Tamandua tetradactyla: one gene and its partners. The protein of the gene in region 3 purifies or fractionates together with the protein of the main gene of each other region. This does not show direct contact. Links are inferred from orthologs where the notes say so. Each region holds a gene or a part of one and is shown on either strand. Other genes may lie near its edges. The genes, in order: CEBPB, ATF1 and ATF2.

Evidence for each region.
Region 1: the proteins of ATF2 (region 3) and CEBPB purify together in Homo sapiens (affinity purification with western blotting; 3 studies listed by BioGRID and IntAct, with this or other methods). This does not show direct contact. The link is inferred for Tamandua tetradactyla from reciprocal best matches to the Homo sapiens genes ATF2 and CEBPB.
Region 2: the proteins of ATF2 (region 3) and ATF1 purify together in Homo sapiens (affinity purification with mass spectrometry; 3 studies listed by BioGRID and IntAct, with this or other methods). This does not show direct contact. The link is inferred for Tamandua tetradactyla from reciprocal best matches to the Homo sapiens genes ATF2 and ATF1.

What each region holds. Positions count from the first base shown.
Region 1 is NC_135327.1:2,603,538-2,611,228, reverse strand, and holds CEBPB (CCAAT/enhancer-binding protein beta), read left to right. Parts: upstream 1-4,583; 5' UTR 4,584-4,859; coding exon 4,860-5,915; 3' UTR 5,916-6,487; downstream 6,488-7,691. UniProt on the Homo sapiens protein: Important transcription factor regulating the expression of genes involved in immune and inflammatory responses. Also plays a significant role in adipogenesis, as well as in the gluconeogenic pathway, liver regeneration, and hematopoiesis.
Region 2 is NC_135333.1:111,991,120-111,999,212, reverse strand, and holds the start of ATF1 (cyclic AMP-dependent transcription factor ATF-1), read right to left. Parts: upstream 3,174-8,093; 5' UTR 3,138-3,173; exon of another isoform or gene 3,074-3,137; intron 2,947-3,073; exon of another isoform or gene 2,863-2,946; intron 2,716-2,862; exon of another isoform or gene 2,548-2,715; intron 1-2,547.
Region 3 is NC_135329.1:147,334,636-147,343,236, reverse strand, and holds the start of ATF2 (cyclic AMP-dependent transcription factor ATF-2), read left to right. Parts: upstream 1-5,004; 5' UTR 5,005-5,089; coding exon of another isoform or gene 5,090-5,109; intron 5,110-8,601. UniProt on the Homo sapiens protein: Transcriptional activator which regulates the transcription of various genes, including those involved in anti-apoptosis, cell growth, and DNA damage response.

The DNA of each region.
Region 1 (7,691 bases), on a different chromosome or scaffold from region 3:
CACATGTGCAGCCCCTCCCCTCGACCAACAGAATGGGACAGAGGTGGGGCTGCGTGTTTTAGGCTTAAGCCTTCAGAAAGCCTGGAAGCTTCTGCTCCTGTGCTCTGGGGGATGTCAGCTGCTATGTAAGGTGTACAGTGGCCAGGAGACCACGTGCTGTGGTCACATGGAGAGAGCACTCAGAGAGCCATAAGAAGAGGCCACGTGAAGTCCATACAGAGACACCACATGCAGAAGCACCAGTGCAGAGGCCACGTGAGTCCCTATGGAGAGGCCATGTGAGAGATTCCTGTGGAGACACCACATGTGCAGGGGCTGCAGGTGAAGCCACGTGGCGAGGAAGAAACTCCCCGTGGGAAAGGAGAACCGAGGAGCCAAGGAGCCGATGTAGATGTGCGACCAGGCAGTGTCAGCTGTGGAGCTGTCCTGCGTGGATGCCACGCCTGGGACGAAGAAGCCCCCTTGGGTGTTCCCGCCTGCAGACCCCACGGCGCAGAGAGGAGCCGCTTCCGCTGTGCCCTGTCCCAGTGCCTGCCCATGGGCCAGGAGCACGTGAACTAGTTGTTGCTTCAAGCCCCTAAGTTTTGGGGTGTCTTTTTACACAATATCCAGAGCACCCCAGCCCTAGGCCTCCACTGGTGCCAGTTTCTCGTGCCCCTTCCCGTGGGAGTATCTGTATCGTCAAACAGCCTGCTCTTGGCTCTACCCGCTTAACGACAGACCTTAGAGACTGTTCTAGACGTGCTGGCCGGACTCAGCCCGGACCACGAGGCTAAGGTCAAGTTCATAAAAATTAAATGCAATGTGCTGGCCACATTTCAGGGGCCCCTCGCCTGTGTCCGGTGGGCATGTTCATTTCTTCAGTGGCCCATTTGTGGGCATCGGTCACCCGCTGGACTGACTCTGACCCAGGCCCCGGCGACGGAGCCGGCACGCCGCCCCTGCAGTTCCGGAGGCGGCCACCCGGGGGCAGCACGCACCCAGGCACGTCTCGCTGGCTGCTTCGCCGCCCTCAGGGAGGGAACCCCGCTTGGCAGATGGGGAAACTGAGGCCGCAGAGATGAGCATGGTGGGGGAAAATCACGGACACTAGAATCAGGGGATCAGCCTTCGCGATCCTGGGGCCTCCCTGACCTCTGCCTGCGTCCCCAGTACCTGTTTGTGACCTCTGGGGGTTAGAGATCTGATTTGGCCACGCGGGCGGCAGGCCCAAGGTCCAGCAGAGGACAGCGAGCCCCCGTGCAGGTGAGGGACGAGGCCCGGAGGGGACACCAGGCCTGGCCAAGGTGCCGCGTAGGGAAGGGCCCCGCCCACCAGCCCCAGCCCCACTGAGCCCCTAGCTAGCGGCAACCCCCCCAGCTGCATCCCGCACCCCCCTGCTGATGTCCGAGCCCCTTGCAAACCCTTTCCCCTTCTCCCTCACAGCTACGGCCGGTCCCCTTGGGTCAGCAGCCTCGGTCTTTTCCCCCTGAAAATGGAGCCAAGGGAGTGGGGGGAGGGGTCTCAAGGCAGTGGAGGCCGTCAGGCGGGCGTCCGTGGGGCCCTGCCCACAACTTCTGCTTTTAAAAGTGTAGCTGGAAATTTGAATTTTGATGTGAGGTCTGCTGGACTTTAAATGTTGGCCACAAATCCACTAAGAAACACAAAACACCAGCACCCACCGCGGGGCCTGACGGACAGGGTTGAGGTGGGCCATGGCTGCCCACAAAGCCGGTGCAGGGCGCAGCTGGGCAGGGCGCTGGGGGGGCTCCACCTGGGTCCCCCGGCCCCACAGCCACCCTGGTGGGTGCCGGTGGGGGTCCTCCTGCCCCCCGTTCCTGGGGGACCAGTGGAGCGGTGCGGTGGTGTAGCTGACCAGGGCACCCGCAGGGCAGGCTCGACCCGGTGGGAGCTGCCACGAGTTCAGCGGCGTGGGTGGGGGAGGCAGGGAACAAGGGCTTTGGTGGTGAAGTTTTTCACGGAGGCCAGCGGGCTAAGAAACCCGAGAGGGCTGAGTCCAGTGCTTTGGGGCTGGTCCCCAGGTTGCCCCCTAACTCTCTGTGTGACCCTGGGTCACCCTTCTCGGCCTTGGTTTTTCCATCCAGAAAATGGGGCTCGCATCATGCAACCTGTTACAGCTTACTACAAACCCAAGGGGAAGGTGAGACTGGAAAGACTGCAGCATTTCCCACCCTTTCATGTGACCCTGAATAGGCACCCTTAGCTTTGCTGGGCCTCAGTTTCCCTTCTGTTAACTGGAGGTGTTCCCTTCTGTCAACCTGCATCCTACAAATTATGGGGACAATTAAATGAGCCAGTATATGCAAGGAGCCTAAAACGTGGTTCTGAGAGGGCAGCAGATTGGCCTGAGGACACACAGTAAACCTCCAACCAGCTGGAGGCCTTCCAGGCCCCGCACCTCCCCAGAACCCTGAGGGCCAGGGGTCTGAGAGAGGAGCCCCTGCCACATGCCACCCTGCCCGGCCAGTGGAGGCCCCTGCTTCTTCTCAGTCCCCTTCATTCATTCATTTGCATTTCTTAGGCACCTACTGTGTGCCCGGCATGGTTCTAGACACTGGGGGACAGCAGTGACCCAAAAGACAAAAGTCCCTGGTCTGCAGGGGGCTGCCATGGGGAGGAGGTGGCGGGGACAGAAAGCACGATGGGCAGGTGAGAGAATTTTGAAGGTAACCAGAATGGTGAAGGAAATGAAACAGGAAGGGGTGAGAGGAGTGATGAGAGGTGGGGGCTTTGGACCAGGAAGTCAGGGAGGGCTTTTCAGAGGTGACTTTGAGGTGGGACCTGAAAATAAGAAGGAACTGCCTTGGGCAGAGCTGGGCAACAGTGTTCTAGGTTCCAGAGAACGTGGCAGAAGCCCTCACTCATGGGGCAGTATTGAGCATGCTGGGCCCAGGAGCCAAAGCTGCCACTGCCTGCAGACAGTCTTGGGGGAGGGGGGGTGGGGGTGGGGGTGGGGGGGTGGGGGTGGAGGAAGATCCAGGAAGACCAGTAAATAGGCTACTAGGATAATGGCGGCTGGAGTTAAGGGCTGTGAAAGGTTACCAGGGGATGCAGCAGGGAGGGCCTCTCGGAGGCGGTGGCCCTAAGCTGAGCCTGAGTGTACCAATTTGCACTCAGGAGCCTGGCTGGGCGGCTCTGGGGAAACCACCGCCAGCCGCGGGGCCTTGGATCCCTCCCTGGCTCAGAGGCTGCTGGGAAGGCACAGGGAGCCAGCAGGCCCATGTTTCACCCCCTCCCCCACCCGCCAAGGGCGCTCAGAGATGTCATTTCTCCAGCTCTAGGGGGCGGAGGTCACTCAGCTCAGCAGATAACGCCTAAAGTTGAGCAATGCCCGCCGCTGGGCCAGGGCTGGGGTCAGTGGGACGGGGGTCAGCCCCAGGCAGGCCGAGCTTCTGCTGGGGCGGCAGGGATTGGGAGAGGCAGGGGGTAGGCCCAGAAGTAGGGTCAGTGAGGGTGAGGGGCCCCTGAGCCCCTCAGTGGGGCACCCCGCCGGGACCACCTCTCCAACTGTGGAGTGGGGGCAGCAAAGCGCCCTCCCCCAGGGTTCTTGGGTGAAAATGTGAACGCCAGACCAGGCGCACCCTGAAAATGCGGAGAGACCCCGCTCCATCCCACGTGGCCCACAGCGAGGCCCGACCTGATCACCACCGCCACCCCCAGCCTCAGAACCAGTGGCTTTTGGGCCTCTGGGATTGGCAAAAAGGTCTTAGGGCGCTGGACGGGGGGGCCCTTGTTAGGGGGTGAATGGGGGACAAGAGGCTGGGGGCTCGACACGTGCCACGCCCCCTCCGGGCTTCCCCTCTTGGTGTCCGCTCTGGGGCTCAGAGCAGCCTTATCTTGGGGACTCTGGGGTGGGGACAATACAATTAATCAAAGAAAGGACAGCTCAGAGAAGGGAAGCGACTCTTCCAAGGTCACTCAGTGTGTGGCACAGCATCCCCTGCACCCCCTCCCCAGTACCCAGGTGGAGGTGGAGTATCCCGGGACGGGAAGGTGGAGTGGGCGGGGCTGGGGGGACCCCACCAGCCGGGTCCTAGCAGCCGCAGTGCCGCGAGCAGCAGCCACCGGCGCGAGCCCCGGCTCCTTCCCGCGGCCGGGGCCGGGGCGGGGGGCGGGGGGAGCAGGTTGGGGGGCGGGGAGGCGCCCGGGGAAGGGCGGTGGAGAGGGGGCGCCTCTCCAGGGCCCGAGCGGGGTTCGAGGTCTCCGGGGCCGGCGGGGCGCGCTCCTCCGCAGCAGCGCGCGGGCGAGCCTGAGGCCGCGGTGTCTCCCGGCAGGGGGCAGGCGGCCGCCGCGTTTGTAGCGGGGGAAGACGCTCCCGGCGCCCCCTCCCCGGATTCCGCCCCCCTCTAGCGTGGCCTTCGGCCCGGAGGGGGCGGTCCGGGGGCGGGATCGCGCCGCCCCGTCTCGCTCCCAATCGCGGGGCCGCGGGGTCCGGGTGGGCAGGGGGCGAGGCCGCCCCCCGCGGCCGGGAGCCCCCCGAAGGGGCGTGCCCGGCCCCAGGTCGGGCCGCCGCGCCCCGCCGCTGCCCTCCCGGGGGTCTCGGGCGGCTGCGGCGGTGGCCTCCGCGTCCCGGCGGCGGCGGGAGGGGCCGGGGCGGCCGCCAGGCGTGACGCAGCCGTTGCCATGGGCCGCCTTATAAATAACCGGGCTCGGGAGAAACTTTAGCGAGTCAGAGCCGAGCACGGGACTGGGAAGGGGACCCATCCGAGGGTCCAGGCGCCAGCCCCCACACCAGTAGCGGCCACCCCGGCAGCGGCGGTAGCAGCGACAGCGGCGGCAGCTCGGAACCGGGAGGCCGCGCCACCTGCGGGCCGGCCGGAGCGGGCAGCCCCGGGCCCCCTCCCCCGGCACCCGCGTTCATGCAACGCCTGGTGGCCTGGGACCCAGCATGTCTCCCGCTGCCGCCGCCGCCCGCCTTTAAATCCATGGAAGTGGCCAATTTCTACTACGAGTCGGACTGCTTGGCTGCTGCGTACGGCGTCAAGGCGGCCTCCGCGGCGCCCCCCGCGCCCTCCGCGGCCAGGCCCGGGCCGCGCCCCCCCGCCGGCGAGCTGGGCAGCATCGGCGACCACGAGCGCGCCATCGACTTCAGTCCGTACCTGGAGCCGCTGGGCGCGCCGCAGGCCTCGGCGCCGGCCACGGCCACCGACACCTTCGAGGCGGCTCCGCCCGCGCCCGCCTCCGCGCCCGCCTCCTCCGGGCAGCACCACGACTTCCTCTCCGACCTCTTCTCCGACGACTACGGGGGCAAGAACTGCAAGAAGGCTGCCGAGTACGGCTACGTGAGCCTGGGGCGCCTGGGGGCCGCCAAGAGCGCGCTGCACCCCGGCTGCTTCGCGCCCCTGCACCCGCCGCCGCCGCCGCCACCGCCACCGCCGCCGCCCGCCGAACTCAAGGCGGAGCCGGGCTTCGAGCCCGCGGACTGCAAGCGGAAGGAGGAGGCCGGAGCGCCGGGCGGCGGCGCCGCAGGCATGGCGGCGGGCTTCCCGTACGCGCTGCGCGCCTACCTCGGCTACCAGGCGGTGCCAAGCGGCAGCAGTGGGAGCCTTTCCACGTCCTCGTCGTCCAGCCCGCCCGGCACGCCGAGCCCCGCCGACGCCAAGGCGCCCCCGGCGGCCTGTTACCCGGGGGCCGCGCCGGCGTCCTCGCAGGTCAAGAGCAAGGCCAAGAAGACCGTAGACAAGCACAGCGACGAGTACAAGATCCGGCGCGAGCGCAACAACATCGCCGTGCGCAAGAGCCGCGACAAGGCCAAGATGCGCAACCTGGAGACGCAGCACAAGGTCCTGGAGCTCACGGCCGAGAACGAGCGGCTCCAGAAGAAGGTGGAGCAGCTGTCGCGCGAGCTCAGCACCCTGCGGAACTTGTTCAAGCAGCTGCCCGAGCCCCTGCTCGCCTCCTCCGGCCACTGCTAGCGCGGCCCCCGCGCGCGGCCCCCCGCCGCCAGCCTCGCGCCTCCGGGAAGCGCCCGCGCGCCCGCCCCCGCTCCGGGCGGCGCCGGCAGAACTTTGGCACTGGGGCGCTGGGCAGCGCGGGGAGCCGCCGGTCGTTTTACTAGTTTATTATATCTAGCTCTCTCTATTTTTTTTTTTTTTTTTTTGGCCAAAGCGACCGCCCCCCAGACGGGGCGCCCGCCCCCCGGCCCTCCTGGAAGGGGAGACGTCCGTGTGTCCGGATGAACGAGAAACTCTGCTTCTCCCGCGGCTCCGGAGTTGATGCAATCGCCCTAAACATGGCTGAAGGCGTGTGTCCGCGGACTGACGCAACCCACGTGCAACTGTCAGCCGGGCCTGAGTAATCGCTTAAAGATGTTCCTACGGGGTTGTTGATGTTTGTTGGTTGGTTTGTTTATTTTTTTGGCCTTTTTTTTGTATTATAAAAAAAAAATAATTCTATTTCTATGAGAAAAGAGGCGTCTGTATATTTTGGGAATCTTTTCCGTTTCAAGCATTAAGTAAGACACTTTTAATAAACTTTTTTTTTTGGAGACGAGTTGAAAAAGCCTTTTGGGGGCAGTAGTTGGTTTTGGATTATTATTCACGTTTTGATCTTTCTTGTGGGTTTATTTGATTTGGCTTTGTGCTTTGCTGCTGTGGGGGCGTCCTTGTGTGCGTGTAGGGGGCTGCTGATGTTATTTTTGGCTTCTTGGAGGTTGGGTGTGGGTGTGGCAGCTGGGGTTTCTCCTCCCCTGCTGCACCCCAAGGTCTGTGCTTGGAGATGGGGGCGCCGGCCTGGGGGAGGAGTGCTGGGTCAGGCATTTTGGAGTGACTCAGTGCCCCTGGGTGCTGAGGACCCGTGGCTAGGAGCCCTGCTTGGGGGGTGGGGTGGGGTGGGTCTCTGGGGAGTCAACTTGGTCCTGGGCAGCAAACCTGGGTTTGGGGGGGTCCTTGAGGTCTGTGGCCCACACACTGTCTGGAGGCGGGGCAGGCGGCCAGTGGCTGCAGGAGGAAGGGGCAGACTTTGAAGGTGCTGTGGGGTGCGCTGTTTGAAAATTTGTGAGTTTGCGTGTGTGTGTGTGTGTGTGTGTGCGCGCGTGTTTGTTTTTAAGAAAGGAGCCTGGGTGTGTGGGCCAGTCTGAGTTTGTGTTCCCCCCGCCCGTGGGAGGGCAGCAGCCTGGCCAGGTGCGGGGGGGAGGGGTCCTGCACGCCTTACCTGGGCTGGACGACTTTACCCTCCCCCTTTCTGCCCACATGTGGACGCTGTGCCCCGGCCTCACCTGTCGGCTCCGGTAGCCCGGCCAGAGTTTGAACCCGGGGCTGCTTCGGTGGGACAGGAAACCGCCCCTGGCAGGTCTCCTGCTTCCCTCTCCTCTGATCCTCTGGCCCCCACACCCGCCCTCACCACAACCCCCCTGCCCGGACGCATTCCGGGAGGCGGGCGCGTAACCGGAGGGGCCGGCGGCGGCATCCCCGTGCCTGGCACGCCCGAGGGGTTACATAAGTGCGCCCCCCCCTCCGCTGCCCGCTCCTGGCTCCCGTGCCTCCCGCACCTTCACGGTTGCGCCGCCTGCCAGGGCCCTGCTCCCGCAGCCCGTGCCCGCCCCTCTCCTTTAAACCACACCCGCCCTGGGGACAAGGGGCTGCTATTAGGCAGACTGGGTAGCCCTGAAGCCAGGTCTCTTTGGGCAAGGTGGTGGCTGGGGTTCCTTCCCTAGGGAACTCCAGGTGGGCTGGGGCAGGCGAGGGCTTTCT
Region 2 (8,093 bases), on a different chromosome or scaffold from region 3:
GAGTCGAGAGGTTATCCTGGAGGTTATTCTTATGCATTAAGTAGATATCACCTTGTTATCCAAGATATAATGGAGACGCTGGAGGGAACTACCTGAAAATGTAGAGCTGTGTTCCAGTAGCCATGTTTCTTGAGGATGACTGAATAATGATATAGCTTTCACAATGTGACTGTGTGATTGGTGATTGTGAAAACCTTGTGTCTGATGCTTCTTTTATCTACCTCGTCAACAAACGAGTAGAACATATAGAATAAAAATAAATAATAGGGGGAACAAATGCTAAAATATAAAAAAAAAAAGGTTAGAGAATGGGCAGATGATGCTTAATCTGTACAGAATATTTAATAAGATTCATTGTAAATGTTTGGTAATGGATAGAGGTGATGGTGGCACAATACTATTTGTGTAATTAAAAATGGTGAATATGAGTCTGGTTGAAGTCTAGGGTCGTGCACATCACTAGAAGGGAAGCTAGAGGATAAAACATGGGTCTGTATAACACAGTGAAACCTGTTGTGGATGATGACTATGGTCATTGTACAAATATAAGAAAATTCTTACATGAACTAGTATAAATGTATATCAACATTACAAGGTGTTAGTGATAGGTGGTGTAAGGGAAAAAATGCAATTAATACAAACAAAGGAACAAAGTTAACAGTAACACTGTAATATTCCTTCATTAATTATAACAAAGGCACTATACCGAAGCTAAGTGTCAATAATAGGTGGGAATAAAGGATATGGAATCTTTTCTTTTTTTTTTTTTTCCGAAGCAAAGAGAATGTTCTTAAATTGACTGTGGTGGTGAATTTATAACTCTGTGACTATATCAAAAGTTATTGGTTGTACACTTTGGATGGACTGTATGATGTGTGATTAAAACTGCCACACCCACAAAAAATAGGAAAGAGAGGCTTGGAGGAGAGTGTAGAAATAAAGATTATCAGTATCTAAAAAGGTAAAAAGAAAGACAAAAATAAGATTTGACAAATAAAAGCCAAAAGATAAAATGGTTAAAGTAAGTAATGCCTTTACAATAATAACATTGAATGTTAACGGATTCAACTTGCTAATCAAATGACACAGACTGGTGGAATGGATAAAATAATATGATTCAGGGGGGGCCATGGTGGCTCAGTGGCAGAGTTTTGTCATGCCGGAGGCCGGGGTTCGATTCCCGGTGCCTGCCCATGTTTAAAAAAAAAAGAAAGAAAGAAAAACAATATGATCCAGCTATATGCTGTCTACAAGAGACTCCCCTTAGACCCAAGGATACAACTAGGTTGAAAGTGAAAGGCTGGAAAAAGATATTCCATGTAATATTATTATCAGACAAAATAGATTTTAAATGCAAAAATGTTATAAGGGATGAGAAGGGATATCATTTATTAATAAAAGGGGAAATCCACCAAGAAGTAAAATCAATCCGCCAAGAAGTAAAATCAATCATAAATGTTTATGCTAACTAAGGTGCCCCAAATCACATAAGGCAAACACTGGCAACACTGAAGAAAGAAGCAGTCTAAAATAATAAATGGAGACTTCAATACACCACTCTCATCAACTGATACAACATCTAGCATAAATTCAATAAGGAAACAGAGAAATTGAATAATATGATAAATGAACTAAACCTAACAAACATTCACAGAATACTGCAGCTCAAAACAGCATGATATACTTCTCCAGGATAGACCACGTGCTGGGTCATAAAACGCGTCTCAATAAATTTAAAAAGGGTGAAATCATACAAAGTACGTTCTCTAATCATAACGGAATGAAGCTGGAAATCATTAGCAGGTGATAATGTGAAAACTCACAAATACATAGATGTTAAACAGCACATTCTTAAAACTATCGGTGGGTCAAAGAAGAAACTGAAAAGGATTATACTGAAAGCCACTGATTGCACACTTTGGATGGTTTGTACGGTGTGTAAACAAAACTGTTCAGTCTATATATCTATACATATATATATACTTCTAGACAATGACTTCATCCCAGCTTTAAAAATGCAACGATTCAAGAACAAGATATACCCTACTGCCCAACGCTGGAACCTTGTAAATAAGTGGTATGACTTGTGAAAAAAGAATTTTCAGAAGGGACTACCACCTATTGGTATATAGTGGTACTGCACAGATACATCACAGACCAAACATTACCCTAAAGAATAATTACAAATAATAAAGATCTAACATATTTACTCGACTTTAGGAAGCAGTACTGAATAAAACTGAGACAGTAAGTTAAGTGTACAATATAAAGCCTACAGAGAAAACAGCATCTTAACAAAAAGCTACGTATTTCTTTGGGTAAAGAAATTCTCAGGATAAAATGTATTTTGTAAATACCCTAGAAACTGTTATCATAGCTGAGGCCTGTCTGACAAAGATGCTTGCCAAATCTATGTAGAAATAGCTTCAGAAGCTTAAGGGCTCTCAAAGACTATTAGTTCAATGCTCCGCAAAAGCTAGCTAAACAGTACTGAAAATCTACAATAAATTTAAATCACAGCATGGTTGAAACTGTAAAATACCATACTTAGTTTTATAATAAGGGAGAAAATTGAAGGGAAAGTTTCCTCGGTTTGATCATTGTCGGGGGAGGGCGCGAGGCGGGGGGTACCACCCCTCTGTCACTCCTAGCCTAGTTAAACCAAAGGGCGCCCAGAGTGGGGTCAACTGGTCCCGGACGCCGCTCGGATGACGCCGAACCGAGCCCAAGGCCAAGCTGCCCTCCCTCCGGCACCCGACCCCAGCCCCGAGACCTCCAATGGAGAACCCTTGCCTTCAACCGCGCAGGGGAGGCTCATGAGGTTAAAGCTACCCTGCAGCGGGAGGTTTTAGATTTTATTACTTTTTTTTACTTTGGGGATCAGGGGGAGCAGAAGACGCGATAACCGGAAGGGTACAACGGAGAGCCAGGGCGCGCGAACCGGAAACGCGCCCCGCCAGGAAACGCGCCCCGCCAGGGAACGCGGACAGCCTCCGCAGCGGCAGCCCCTCCCCCTTCCGCCGCGCTCCCTCCGCGCCCTTCCTCCACCGCTGCTTCGGCGCGCGACCCCCGCCCCGACTTTCCCCTCTACCTGCCAGACGCTACGGGAGCACGTCCCACTCCCGCCCCCCACTTACCTGTGGCTGCCGCCTCGCCGCTGTCCGGGACGGGAACTTCCACTCCCCCCCTCCCAGGGTGGATCCGAGTTCACTAGCCCCTTTCCCAACCCCTCACGCTGCGCGGGACGTGTCTCTTTCTCAAGGGTCAGATGGATGGGGGAGAATCAGTGTCACTTTACAGCCAACTGGCAGTAAGGGCCGCCATTGGCGGCATAATCTACACCAGGCTGGGGGCGGGGGAGGGAAGGGGGGAAACTGAGTGTAAATGAGCGTGGGGAGTGAAGTTAAGGCTAGCCTCCCGTGAAGGCCACCGTACTACGTCACCGCGTCGATCACGTGATGCGCCGCCATTTTTATACTCGCGCTGACCGGCGAGTTGGTGTGCTTGAAGATGTTATCTTGGTGAGAGTTGGACGTGAAAACGGGTTGGGGTTCTTTTTTTTCTTGAGGATCTTTCCATCACGACCCTGGCCGCTCTCTCTTACACGTCTCTTGCCAGAGGGCCTCACCAGCTTAGTGATATTAAGCCATTTAGTGTGGGGCAGTTGTCGTTGGCTAATCGCATCCCTCTCAGCTTCAGTTTCTGTGTGTTCTAGTTTGAGTGATCGCACCTTGAACATCTTGAAGGGAGAAGCGAGGAGACTTGTCTTCCTTGGGTTTTCTGAGTTCACCCAGACTATTCTTATTCCTACAAAACAGCGTTAAGAAGTGTGTTTTTTCATCCTTATGAGGTAGAATTTTCTACACAGACTGATTTTTTTTTAAAGGTGCCAGTCGGGTATTTGAGCTCCATTTCGTGGGCACTGTGGAACATAGATTCCCCAAACTGTTAAACTGTAAAGAGGAAAGTTAGGTTCAATTCAGTTTCAGTGTCGTAACATAGTATGTTATGCTGTCCTCTTAATATGTTACAAAATATTTTTTAATGTGTGCCTTGACTAATTTGGGGGGGGGGGGAAGGCATTCTGGGGACTGTGCTTCATAATTTTTTTTCCTTATTCATTTTCTTGCAAAATGTTCTTTATGATTTTATGATGACATTAAACAACTAATCTCTTACTTGACAAAATGTTCCAGAAACTTTTCTCAAAAAAATTTTACAAGTTTGAGATGTGGGATGCTAGGACACTGGTTTAGTAGAGAGCTTTTCCTGTTTTTGACCCTTTGAGGCCAGAAAATGTGGTTTAAAGTTAAAGGGTTTATTCTGCAATAAGAGCTCTCATAACGTTTAGTTATTGCCATCCATTCAGCAAACGTCGATTACCATCTAAACAAGCTAGAACAGGTCATTGCCCTTCTTTGTTCATGTTAGGAGGACCAGGTTTTTGATTAGGCAGATTATCCAACGTCTCTGAGGAAATGAAGAGTGTAATACCCAGAAGTCCCACATTACTGAAGTAATCAGGATGTCATATGTGAAAGCAAATTGCCTTATTAAGGTAAGGGGTCGGGAAGAGGGTCACATAGCAGCCTTTTCTGATTAACCGAGTCCAGCTTCTATCATTCTGGAATCCAGAAAAATGATCTGGAAAGCTGGTTGTACCAGTTGTTCTGTGTTTCGTTGTTTCCCCTTTGTGCTCCCTTGGAACAGAATGCTTAACAAATGTTGAACAGTAAAAAAAGGAGTGGGGAATGAAAAATGCTACCATAAAAAGAAACGAAGTTTTACTGTAACAAGAAACCTTCAAAATGTGCTTGAGCTACTCCCTCTTTAGCTCCTCCTCCACCTGTAAAATTCCTTAAGTCTAAATCAAATGTTACTTTTGTACAACATTGTCACTCACAAATATATTCACCTTTCTTCGTTCTTTCTCGTGGTGTCACAGGCTGTTCCTCCTATTTTTTGGATTATGAGGAATAACTGAATGTAAAGGAAGGAAAAAGATTTTGGTTCTTATGCACACAGTTCCTGTTAAAATAGTAAAAGATTTGTGAACCAGATGGACAGGTTTTTGACTTCAAAAATGAGGAAATAAAGTGGAAAAAACCTAAGTTTCAAGAGTCCAAAGGAATGGATGGTGGTTAGCACTTCCTTAGCTCTTCTGGCACTTTTTTCTATTTACGAAAAAGAATATTATTATGAAATGGGTTTAATCCTATATCCCACAGTTTTTGTAGACTGAATGAGTTCAATACGTGTCAAGTTAAAGCTGTGCCTTGCACAGAGTAAGCACTGAATAATGTTAGCTATTATACTGGAAGACACTGCAATGTAACTAACTGGAAACAGCTGGAAAACACTAAGTGGCCACTAATTAAGAGAAACCTAATGGGTTTACAAAGGGACTGAGCTGGAGTAGAGGATTTAAGAGCCTTAAAACAGTGTCTGGAACAGCGCACCTCTAAAAAAAGCAGAAATTATTTAAAGTTAATGAATACAAACTTTTTGGCCTATAAAATAGCCTTTTTTTTTTGGTCCTTTTTCCTCAAGTCTAAACACAGGAAAACTTAACCAAGGATAGGTCCTAAGCTGCAGGGAGTGTATAAACTACAATCCACTATTTCAAGTAACACACCTTGAAACAGGGTTGTCCCAGATAAGTTAGCTCTGACACTATTCACTGCCTAATGTTAACAAAGCTTGAATTGATTCCAGAGAACTAATCTGTGAGGCTATTGGAGTAGCGGACAACTGCAGGGCTGTCCATCTAGCTCACCCTCTTTACGAAAAGTATTCTTTAAGGTCATCCAGATCCATTTAACAATGGGCATCTCACTCACACTCAGCCATCTGAGTCTCATCTTCCCCCAAGGATTATGACTTGGACAAAAATTAGTCTCTAAGTGTGAACTATCCTAAAATTTGTGTAGTGGGCATTTTCCATCCACAAATGATGCAGATTGAGAGAGCAATCCAATAGCTTTCTAGACCCCAGTTCTAGAAACTGCCTGAGGTACAGCTGCCTGCCACAGTCTTTAGGTTCAATGGGCCACCCTTGGTCACTGAACTGAAAAGCTCTTTTTCTATTTAAACTAGATTACCTTGATTGCTGTTATTTTCAGAGTCCTAACAAATATAGCTGAGTACAGGAGGAATAATTTCCTGTGACTTCCTCCCCTTCACTATATTTCCTGCACTACCTTAGTCCAAGCCATCATTACTTCTTTCAATGTATATTGCAGCAGTCTCCTACTTGGTTTCACTAGTAAAACCATATAATGTGCAAGTACTGGTTATTGGTTGTGTTAGCTGGATTGCATAATGAAAAAGTTATTTACTTACCTACAAGAGTATGGCCACAGAGCTGTAGTAAAACAGCTTGAAACAAATATTCAGCTATTAAGAGAAGTCTTCTTTAGAGGCTGATGTTGGCCAGAGCATGCTGCAATTATGAAGCTTTTGGAGAGTTCAAGAGGGAAGGTCACCTTAGGGCTGGACAACACCTTTTTTTTTTTTTGAGGTGAAATTCACATAACATGAAATTAACAATTTAAAAGTAAACAACTAAGTGGCATTTAGTACATTCAGGATGTTTTGTAATCACTTCTATCCACTTCTAAAACATTTTTATCTCCGCTAAGGAGAAACACTGTATCTTTAAGCAGATGCCTTCCATTTCCTCTCCTTCCCACCCCACCCTCCCCGCACCGCCCAGTCCCTGACAACCACCAATCTACTTTCTGTCTGTATAGATTTACCTATTCCAGATATTGCATGTAAATGGAATATTTCTTCCTCTTAGCATGCTTTCAAGGTTCATCCAAGTTGTACCATGTTTCAATACTTCATTCCTTTTTATGGGTGACTAATATCTGATTGTATATTTTGTTTATTCATTCATCCATTGATGGATATTTGGGCTATTTTCACCTTTTGGTTATTGTGAATAGTTTTGCTATGAACAGGCAGGTACATGTATTTGTTTGAGTACTGGTTTTTAGTTCTTTTGGGTATATACCTAGGAGTGGAATTGCTGGGTCATATGGTAATTACTCTATTTAAATTTTTTATTTTTAGGGTTTTAGTTAATCCTTATGGTATTGTACTATGTATTCTTCTTTTCATGAAAAACAAAAGCTATGCTCTCCTAATTATGACTGGTACAGAAGCCCCTGTTTTCAAACAGTGTCCTGAAACTTCAGAAAGGAATGGATCTGTTAAACCAGCAACCATCAGTAAGAGGTACTGACCATCTAATAGGTCTCTGGAACAGATTAATATATAGTTAAGTGATAAATCTGGAAATTTGGGGGGAAAATTATTAGGAAATACTTCAATGACATGCCAAATCCCTCACAAAAATGTACTTCATCCAACGTCAATCTTTCATCTGACAATTCTTTAAACATCCCCTCTAGAGTGGCTTTTAGCCACACAAACCCCCCCAGAACAGCAAACACCACTACACGACTCCAGAGACGGAAATAACATTACCACAGTGAAACACAAGAGGTTGCCCAGTGTTGCTTAGCAATGCAATGTAGGCAGGCCATAGAAGGGTATTCAGAGGGCTTGATATTCACCAACTACACTGATAACAAAAGACAAAGAATCTACCATAGAATAAAACAGAGGAGAATGGCTGAAGTCTTACTATTAAGCCAATGGCTGTAAGTGCAAAAATGATCCTGGTCTCCATCCCTTTCTATCACTCATGTACATATCTGTCTGTGCATGTACACAGAAAAAATAACTTATTGAGCACTACTACAGACCACATACTGTCCTAAGCACTTTACAAATCAATATATAAAGCTAAGCATGCAGGTGATAAATTAATATAAAGCTAAGCACGCAGGTGATAAATTCTTTTCAATTTCCACACAGATATTTAGAAACCCAGAGATAGCTGCCCCTGGTTGGGAAGAACTAAACTAAAGGTTTGCCAATAGTCATTCACAAATGCTGAGAAGCACTTCATGAATCATTATAACATTTGTGAGTTTGAGGACTCTTGAGGTAAGGCTGGTTTTGCCCTTAAAGTCTTTTTTTTTTTTTTTTTTTTTTTAGTTAAATTCTGAAATATTTCAAAC
Region 3 (8,601 bases):
GGAAAGATGCCAAAAAATCCTTTATTTCAGCTCCCCAAGGGTGCATTTTCCTGGCTTGCCCATCAGATGGTGCTCTTTGGTAATCTATTCCCCGTAGTCCTAAAAGGGCAGGGTATTTTAGCCCCCTGCCAGCTTCATATCTCACCCAGGTCAGAACAGTGGTATGGAACATCTGTCCCAAACAAGCTAAAGCAATGGGTCTCCGTTGTCTAAATTTGCCGACCAGTAAATAGTATTTTGAGATATTGGGCTGATTTCATTATTCAGATCCTTGTACTCTTATGAATGTGATATCAAGAAAAATCTGTGATGCTCATGTTTTCTTTCAACTTTGAAGAGTTTCTTCAAAACTCTTGGGTGAAGGACATATGCTATGTCCCTGTGGGTGGGAAAAAGATTCAAAACTGCTGCTTTCCTCATTAAAGCTGGACTTATTTTTTTTTCTGTCACTTGTAATGTGTTTGACTTCTTTGATGAATGAACTGAATATAAATGAGGTAACAAGATGAGTGAACATTATGTACTAAATAAACTTTAGTATAACATCAAATCTGTGGGTTAAAGATTAATTGAAAAATCATTTGTCTAAAAGTTTAAATATGTAGTTCATGCTTTCTGACTTTAAAAATAAAGAAAATCATAAGATTAGGTATTAGTTAAGCCTTAGGACAATGTACATTTAAAGTCAAAGTAAAACATTAAAATTTGTAATAAGCAACAGATACTATTTGGGTGCTGTGTACTGTACTATGTATTTTACATGTATTATTTTAATTTATTCTTTTTTTATATCTCCCAAACTGGTGAATTCATGTTTTATTTCTTACTGGAGAGGTTCTTAGTGAAATTATATCATGTAAATTTTTCCTAAAAAAGGTACTCAAATGTAATTTAACCTTGAGAAGAAGGAATGAAGTCCTACTAACTCATAGGTTCTCAATCTCCTGGGTTTAGGTTTGTTTTTATGATCATATTGCTGTTCCAAAGGTGGGCTCTAGGATCATTTAGCTTGCTTTTGTGGTACTTAACTACAATATAAGAAGGAAATTATAGCACGGAGAAAAATGTGTCTATAGGGTGCTGTTGCTTTGAAGCCATGGGACACTAGCCTATTCAGCTAACGGCACCTTAAAGTTTTTGTTCACTTTATTAGTTTTCTCTTGCTGCCTTACAAATTACCCTAAATTCAGCAACTTAAAACACATATACAAAAACAGCTCACAGTTTTTATTTTTGTTTTTTGATCTCACAGATTTTGTGCATTAGAAGTTCAGGTAGACTCTGCTGCATCCTCTGCTTAGGATCCAAACAGGGCCAAAAGAAGGATTTGACAGTTTTGTATTCTTTATAGAAAGCTCTGGGGACGAATGTGCTTCTAAGCTCATTCAGTTTGATGATTGAATTCAGTTCTTTGTACTTGTGGAATTGAGGTCCCCCTTTCCTTGTTGGCTGTCAGGGAGTTGGGGAATGGACTGGTCTTTGCTCCTAGAAACTGGAATGCTTCACATCTGGCACCCTCCAGTAATGACGAGTTGAATTCTTCTCATGCTTCTAATTTCTCTGACGTCTTTTTTTGAATTTGTCTGACCCCTCTCAGAGAAAGGTCTCTGTTCTTAAATTCTCATGTGATTAGATTGGGCCCATCTCTGTAATCCAGGATGATCTCCCTATTTTAGAATCTGTAGTCTTTTTACTTAAGCATAATCCCTTTTGCCATGTAACAAACATAAAACATATTCACCAGTTCCAGGGATTAGGGGATGGACATCTTTGGGGAGCCATTCTGTGTAGTACATTCATATTCCTGAATAGAAATTTGATAAACTTTGTATCCTTACACATTTCTAAGTTTATTTCTAAAAGTTTTCATCACATATTTAAATAGTTACAAAAAGTAGATTTTGTACCTTTTCTAAATAATGGCACCACTCATTTATAATTAAATACCAGTGATCACATACTGTTGTTTTTTTTTTTAAAAACTCAAATGAGTTTATCTTCAACAGTTGGACATTTTTATGTTCCTTTTTCTTATTTAACTCCTATTTTCTTTCCATTTCTCCAACATAATTTTATTTGAATCCAGTCTGTGTTTATGTTTTAAAGTATTTTGTTGATAACCTTTTCATACTCTGCTGTATATACATTTTTTTTGTTTTTCAAAGTTTGGATGATAATCTAATGTTGCGTGTGTAAGACAGGCCACATACAGCTGGCTTAGTCTGGTTTCATTTTGTTTGAGGTGAAGATAAGACCACAAGTCCATCTCACTGTTTTCTAACAATGGATTGTTTTGTCTGTTCCTGATCTTTTTTAAAAAATATTTTTATTGTAAACAACAAACAAAAAATACAAACATTCTTGGCATACAAACATTTTTGACATGGTTATAATCAGTGGTTCACAATATCATCACATAGTTGTGTATTGATCACCATCATCATTTTTTTGAACATTTGCATCTCTCCAGCGAAAGAAATTAAAAAGAAAAAACTCATATATACTATACCCCTTACCCCTCTGTATTAGTTAGAGTTCTCTAGAGAAACAGAATCAACAGGAAATATTCATAAATATAAAGTTTATAGAAGTGTCTCATGTAACTGTGGGAACGTAGAGTCCAAAACCTGTAGGGCAGGCTGTGAAGCTGATGATTCTGATGGAGAGTCTGGACAGACTCCACAGGAGTTGTTGCCGGCCACAGCAGGAAGAGAGCTGTCTCTTCTGAATCCTCCTTAAAAGACTTCCAGTGATTGATTAGGTTAAGCATCATTCATTAAAGAAGACATCCCCCTTGGCTGATTACAAATGGAATCATCTGTGGATGTAGTCAACATGATCATGATTTAATTCTATGAAATGTCCTCATAACAGACAGGTCGGCACTTGCCAAACCAGACAAACAGTTACCACCACCTGGCCAAGTTGACACATGAACCTGACCATGGCACCCTCCCTCTTGTTGACCATTAGTATTTCAATCTACTCAATTTATTTTAACCTTTGTTATTTATTAATTTCTTATCCATATTTGTTACTCATCTATCTATACCATAGAACATCAGACACAAGATTTTCACAATCACACAGTCAGTTAAAAAGCTGTATCATTATACAATCATCTTCAAGAAACATGGTTACTGAAACACTGCTCCACAGTTTCAGGTACTTCCCTCTAGCTGCAATAATGTACCATAAAGTAGAAAGGAGATATCTGTATAATGTGTTAGAATAACCTCCAGGATAACCTCCCAACTCTATTTGAAATCTCTCAGCCACTGACACTTTATTTTGTCTCATTTCTCTCTTCCTCCTTTTGGTCGAGAAGGTTTTGTCAAGCCCTTGATGCCAAGTCCTAGCGTCCTAGGATTTCTGTCCCATGTTGCCAGGAAGGTTTATACCCCTGGGAGTCATGTCACATATACAGGTGGGGAGGGCGGTGAGTTTGCTTGCCATGTTGGCTTAGAGAGAGAGAAGTTTTTGAGCAACTGTTGAGATAACAACACAAACCTTTCCTTACAAATAAGTCCACTGAAAGCCAATACCTAGAAAATAAACATTTATGTGAAGGAAATAATTTGCAGAAATTTATCTCTACCTAGAAGATGTTCAGTTTTACATTGTCCCATAGAGCTGTTTGTCCTTTGAATTGCTACTCCGTTTATAGTCTCCATTTTACGTTTGTATAACTAAATGTCCAGTTCAGAAAATTTTGCCTTTAGGAAACAGGAGTCTGTATATAAAATAATTTTGTTGTCAGCTTGAAATGAGTATCTTTTTAGCTTTTGGCATTCACATAAAAATTTCAAACTGTTTCCCTTTAGCCACTCTAATACACCATAAACTAAAAAGGAGATATCTATCTAATGTGTAAGAATAACCTCCAGGATAACATCTTAACTCTTTGAAATCTCTCAGCACTGACACTTTATTTTGTCTCATTTCTTTCTTCCCCCTTTTGATTGAGAAGGTTTTCTAAGTCCCTTGATGCTGAGTCCCAGCTCATTCTAGGGTTTCTGTCCCATGTTGCCAGGGACAGGGACACCCTTGGGAGTCATGTCACATGTAGAGAAGGGGAGGCAGTGAGTTTGCTTACTGTGTTGGCTGAGAGAGAGAGAGGCCACTTCTGAGCATCAAAAGAAGTTCTCTGGGAAAGACTCTTAGGCCTAGTTTTAAGTAGGCTTAGCCTATTCTTTGTGGGGATAAGTTTAATAGAAACAAACCCCAAGATTGAGGGCTTGGCCTGTTGATTTGGTTGTCCCCACTGCTTGTGAGAATATCAGGAATTCTCCAAATGGGGAAGTTGAATTTTCCCCCATTCTTCCCATTCCCCCAAGGGGACTTTGCAAATACTTCTGTATTCACTGTACAAATCCCTCTGGGATTTATCAGGACATCACACTAACTTGGACCAACCTACAAAATCTCATGCCCTGTCCAATGTTCCATGTACTGTGGTCACACTCAGGATTTTGATGCTGAGATGCAGCACTGCCTTTTCACCTAACATCATGCCTTCCTCCTTACCCCCCTATCTATCATGGTGAAAAACTTCGTATATCTGCTGTGTTTCACCAAGGTTCTATTGTCTTACTTCCCTCCTTGAAAGTGTCATTCCTTTGATATGTTGCATGTGCAAGGAGTTATGAGAGGCCACAAGATAAATACCTTCCTTGAGCATTAAAGATTTTGGAGGGAACATATTATATTAAAAAATAGGGAATGGAAGGGAAAATTAACATTTTTTTTTTAAGATCCAACTTCTACCTTTTTATTTAAAACTTTAATTTGGTACTCTATGTACAATTCAGAATTTCCCATTTTAATCACATTCAAGTGTATAATTCAGCGGTATTAATTGTGTTTACAATGTTACCATGCATTTTAAAATATAGAATAAGGAAAATACTTTTAAAACTTCATAGTGCAGTTGTACTGCATGAGGCTATTCTTTTAGATCGTGCAGGTTAATGAGTTCACTCTTTTCTGCCTATCCTTTGCCCTAAGGATACTTAAATGGAAACTTTGGAAGCTCTGCTTATTTGATAAGAGAGGAGTGATTCCTGGCAGCAGAGTGAATATAAAGCTCATGGCCCACCAGCCAGAAAGGTAAGAGATTTTAAATTTTATTTTTTTAAACATTAAAATATTTATTTTAAGGAATTGGCACAGATGATTGTGGGGGCTAGCCAGAAATTACAGCAAGAATTAATGTTGCATCAACGAGTACAGCAAAGTGGCAGGTTACAAGATCAACATTCAAAAATCTGCAGTATTTCTATACACTAGTAATGAACAATCGGGGAAATCAAGAAATGAATTCCATTTACAATTGCAACTAAAAGAATAAAATACTTAGGAATAAATTTAACTAAAGAGACAAAAGACCTGTACAAAGAAAACTACAAGAAACTGTTAAAAGAAATCACAGAAGACCTAAATAGATGAAAGGGCATACCGTGTTCATGGATTGGAAGACTAAATACAGTTAAGATGTCAAATGATTTACAGATTCAACGCAATACCAATCAAAATCCCAACAATTTACTTTTCAGAAATAGAAAAACCAATAAGCAAATTTATCTGGAAGGGCAGGGTGCCCCGAATTGCTAAAAATATCTTGAGGAAAAAAAACGAAGCTGGAGGTCTCACGCTGCCTGACTTTAAGGCATATTATGAAGCCACAGTGGTCAAAACAGCATGGTACTGGCATAAAGATAGATATATTGACCAATGGAATCGAATAGAGTGCTCAGATACAGACTGTCTCATCTATGGACATTTGATCTTTGATAAGGCAGTCAAGCCAACTCACCTGGGACAGAACAGTCTCTTCAATAAATGGTGCCTAGAGAACTGGATATCCATATGCAAAAGAATGAAAGAGGACCCATATCTCACACCCTATACAAAAGTTAACTCAAAATGGATCAAAGATCTAAACATCAGGTCTAAGACCATAAAACAGTTAAAGGAAAATGTACAGAAATATCTTATAAATTTTATAATTGGAGGCGGTTTTATAGACCTTACACCTAAAGCAAGAGCACTGAAGAAAGAAAGAAAGAAATGGGAACTCCTCAAAATTAAACACTTTTGTGCATCAAAGAACTTCATCAAGAAAGTAAAAAGACAGCCTACACAATGGGAGACAATATTTGGAAACGACATATCAGATAAAGGTCTAGTATTCAGAATTTATAAAGAGATTGTTCAACTCAACAACAAAAAGACAGCCAATCCAATTACAAAATGGGAAAAAGACTTGAACAGACAACTCTCAGAAGAGGAAATACAAATGGCCAAAAGACACATGAAGAGATGCTCAATGTCCCTGGCCATTAGAGAAATGCAAATCAAAACCACAATGAGATATCATCTCATACCCACCAGAATGGCCATTATTAACAAAACAGAAAATGGCAAGTGCTGGAGAGGATGTAGAAAAAGAGGCACACTTATTCACTGTTGGTGGGAATGTGAAATGGTGCAACCACTGTGGAAGGCAGTTTGGCGGTTCCTCAAAAAGCTGAATATAGAATTACCATACGACCCAGCAATACCATTGCTAGGTATCTACTCAGAGGACATAAGGGCAAAGACACAAACGGACATTTGCACACCAATGTTTATAGCAGCATTATTTACAATTGCAAAGAGATGAAAACAGCCAAAATGCCCATCAACAGACAAGTAGCTAAACAAACTGTGGTATATACATACGATGGAATATTATGCAGCTTTAAGACAGAATAAAGTTATGAAGTATGTAACAACATGGATGGACCTTGAGAACATTATGCCGAGTGAGAATAGCCAAAAACTAAAGGACAAATACTGTATGGTCTCGTTAATATGAACTGACATTAGTGAATAAACTTAGAATATTTTGTTCATAACAGTGACCATCAGGAGATAGAAATAGGGTAAGATATTGGGTAATCGGAGCAGAATGGATACAGACTGTGCAATAGGACTGGATACAAAAACTCAGAAATGGACAGCACAATACTACTTAACTGTAATACAATTATGTTAAAACACTGAATGAAGCTGCATGTGAGAACAATAGAGGGAGGAGGGCTGGGGGCATAAATGAAATCAGAAAGAAAGATAGATGTTAAAGATTGAGATGGTATATCTAGGAATGCCTAGAGTGTATAATAATAGTGACTAAATGTACAAATTTTAAAAATGTTTTTGCATGAGGAAGAACAGAGGAATGTCATTATTGCAGGGTGCTGAAAATAGATGGTAATTAATATTTTAAAATGTCACCGTATGTGTGAGACTAAAGCAAAAAATGTTTATTAGTTAAAAAATTTTTATTTTGACTAGTGCATCTCGTAATACAACTTATGTAGATAGTTTGATTGAATGCCATAAGTACCTGGAATCTCACGTAGGACATGAGATTTTGCTGGTTTGTCCAGAGTGATGCCCCAATGAATCCCAGAGTGATTTGATCAGTGAGTGGAAAAGTATCTGCAAAGCCCCCTTTGGGGAGTGGTGAGAACAGGGAGAAATTCAACTTCCCCAAGTTGAATTCTTGATATTCTCACAAGCAGTGTGGACAACCAAAGCTGCAGGCAGAGCCCCCAGTCTTGGGGTTTGTTCATATGAAACTTAACCCCGCAAAGGATAGGTCAAGTCTACTTAAAATTTAGGCCTAAGAGTCACCCCCAAGAGAGCCTCTTTTGTTGCTCAGATGTGGCCCCTCTCTCCAGCCAACACAACGAGCAGTCTCACCACCCTACCCCTCTCTACGTGGGACATGACTCCCAGGGGTGTGGACCTTCCTGGCAACGTGGGACAGAGATCTTGGAATGAACGGAGAGTCAGCATCAAGGGATTGAGAAAAACCCTAGAATGAGCTGAGATTTAGCATCAAGGGATTGAGAAAACCTTCTCGACCAAAAGGGGGAAGAGTGAAATGAGACAAAATAAAGTGTCAATGGCTGAGAGATTCCAAACAGAGTCGAGAGGTTATCCTGGAGGTTATTCTTATGCATCAAGTAGATACCAGTTGTTATTCAAGATGTAATGGAGAGGCTGGAGGGAACTGCCTGAAAATGTAGAGCTGTGTTCCAGTAGCCATGTTTCTTGAGGATTATTGACTAATGATAGAGCTGTCACAATGTGACTGAGTGATTGTGAAAACTTTGTGTCTGATGCTCCTTTAATCTACCTTGTCAACAAATGAGTAGAACATACGGAATAAAAATAAATAATAGGGGGAACAAATGCTAAAATAAATTTAGTTTAAATGCTAGTGATTAATGAAAGCAAGGGGTAAGGGGTATGGTAGGTATAATCGCTTTTTTTCTTTCCTGTGTTCGTTTTATTTCTTTTACTATTGTCTTTTTATTTTTTTTTCTGAATTAATGCAAATGTTCTAAGAAATGATGAATATGCAACTAAGTGATGATATTGTGAATTACTGATTATGTATGTTGTTTTTTTTGTTTCTTTATTTTTTAAATTAATAAATAAATTAAAAAAAAAAGAATTAATGTTGCATCTGAAATCCATGAGCTCAGTAGACTGGTGTAGGTTTGAGGTAAAACTTCTTTTTCTTTGTAATCCTCAGTAATCTGATTT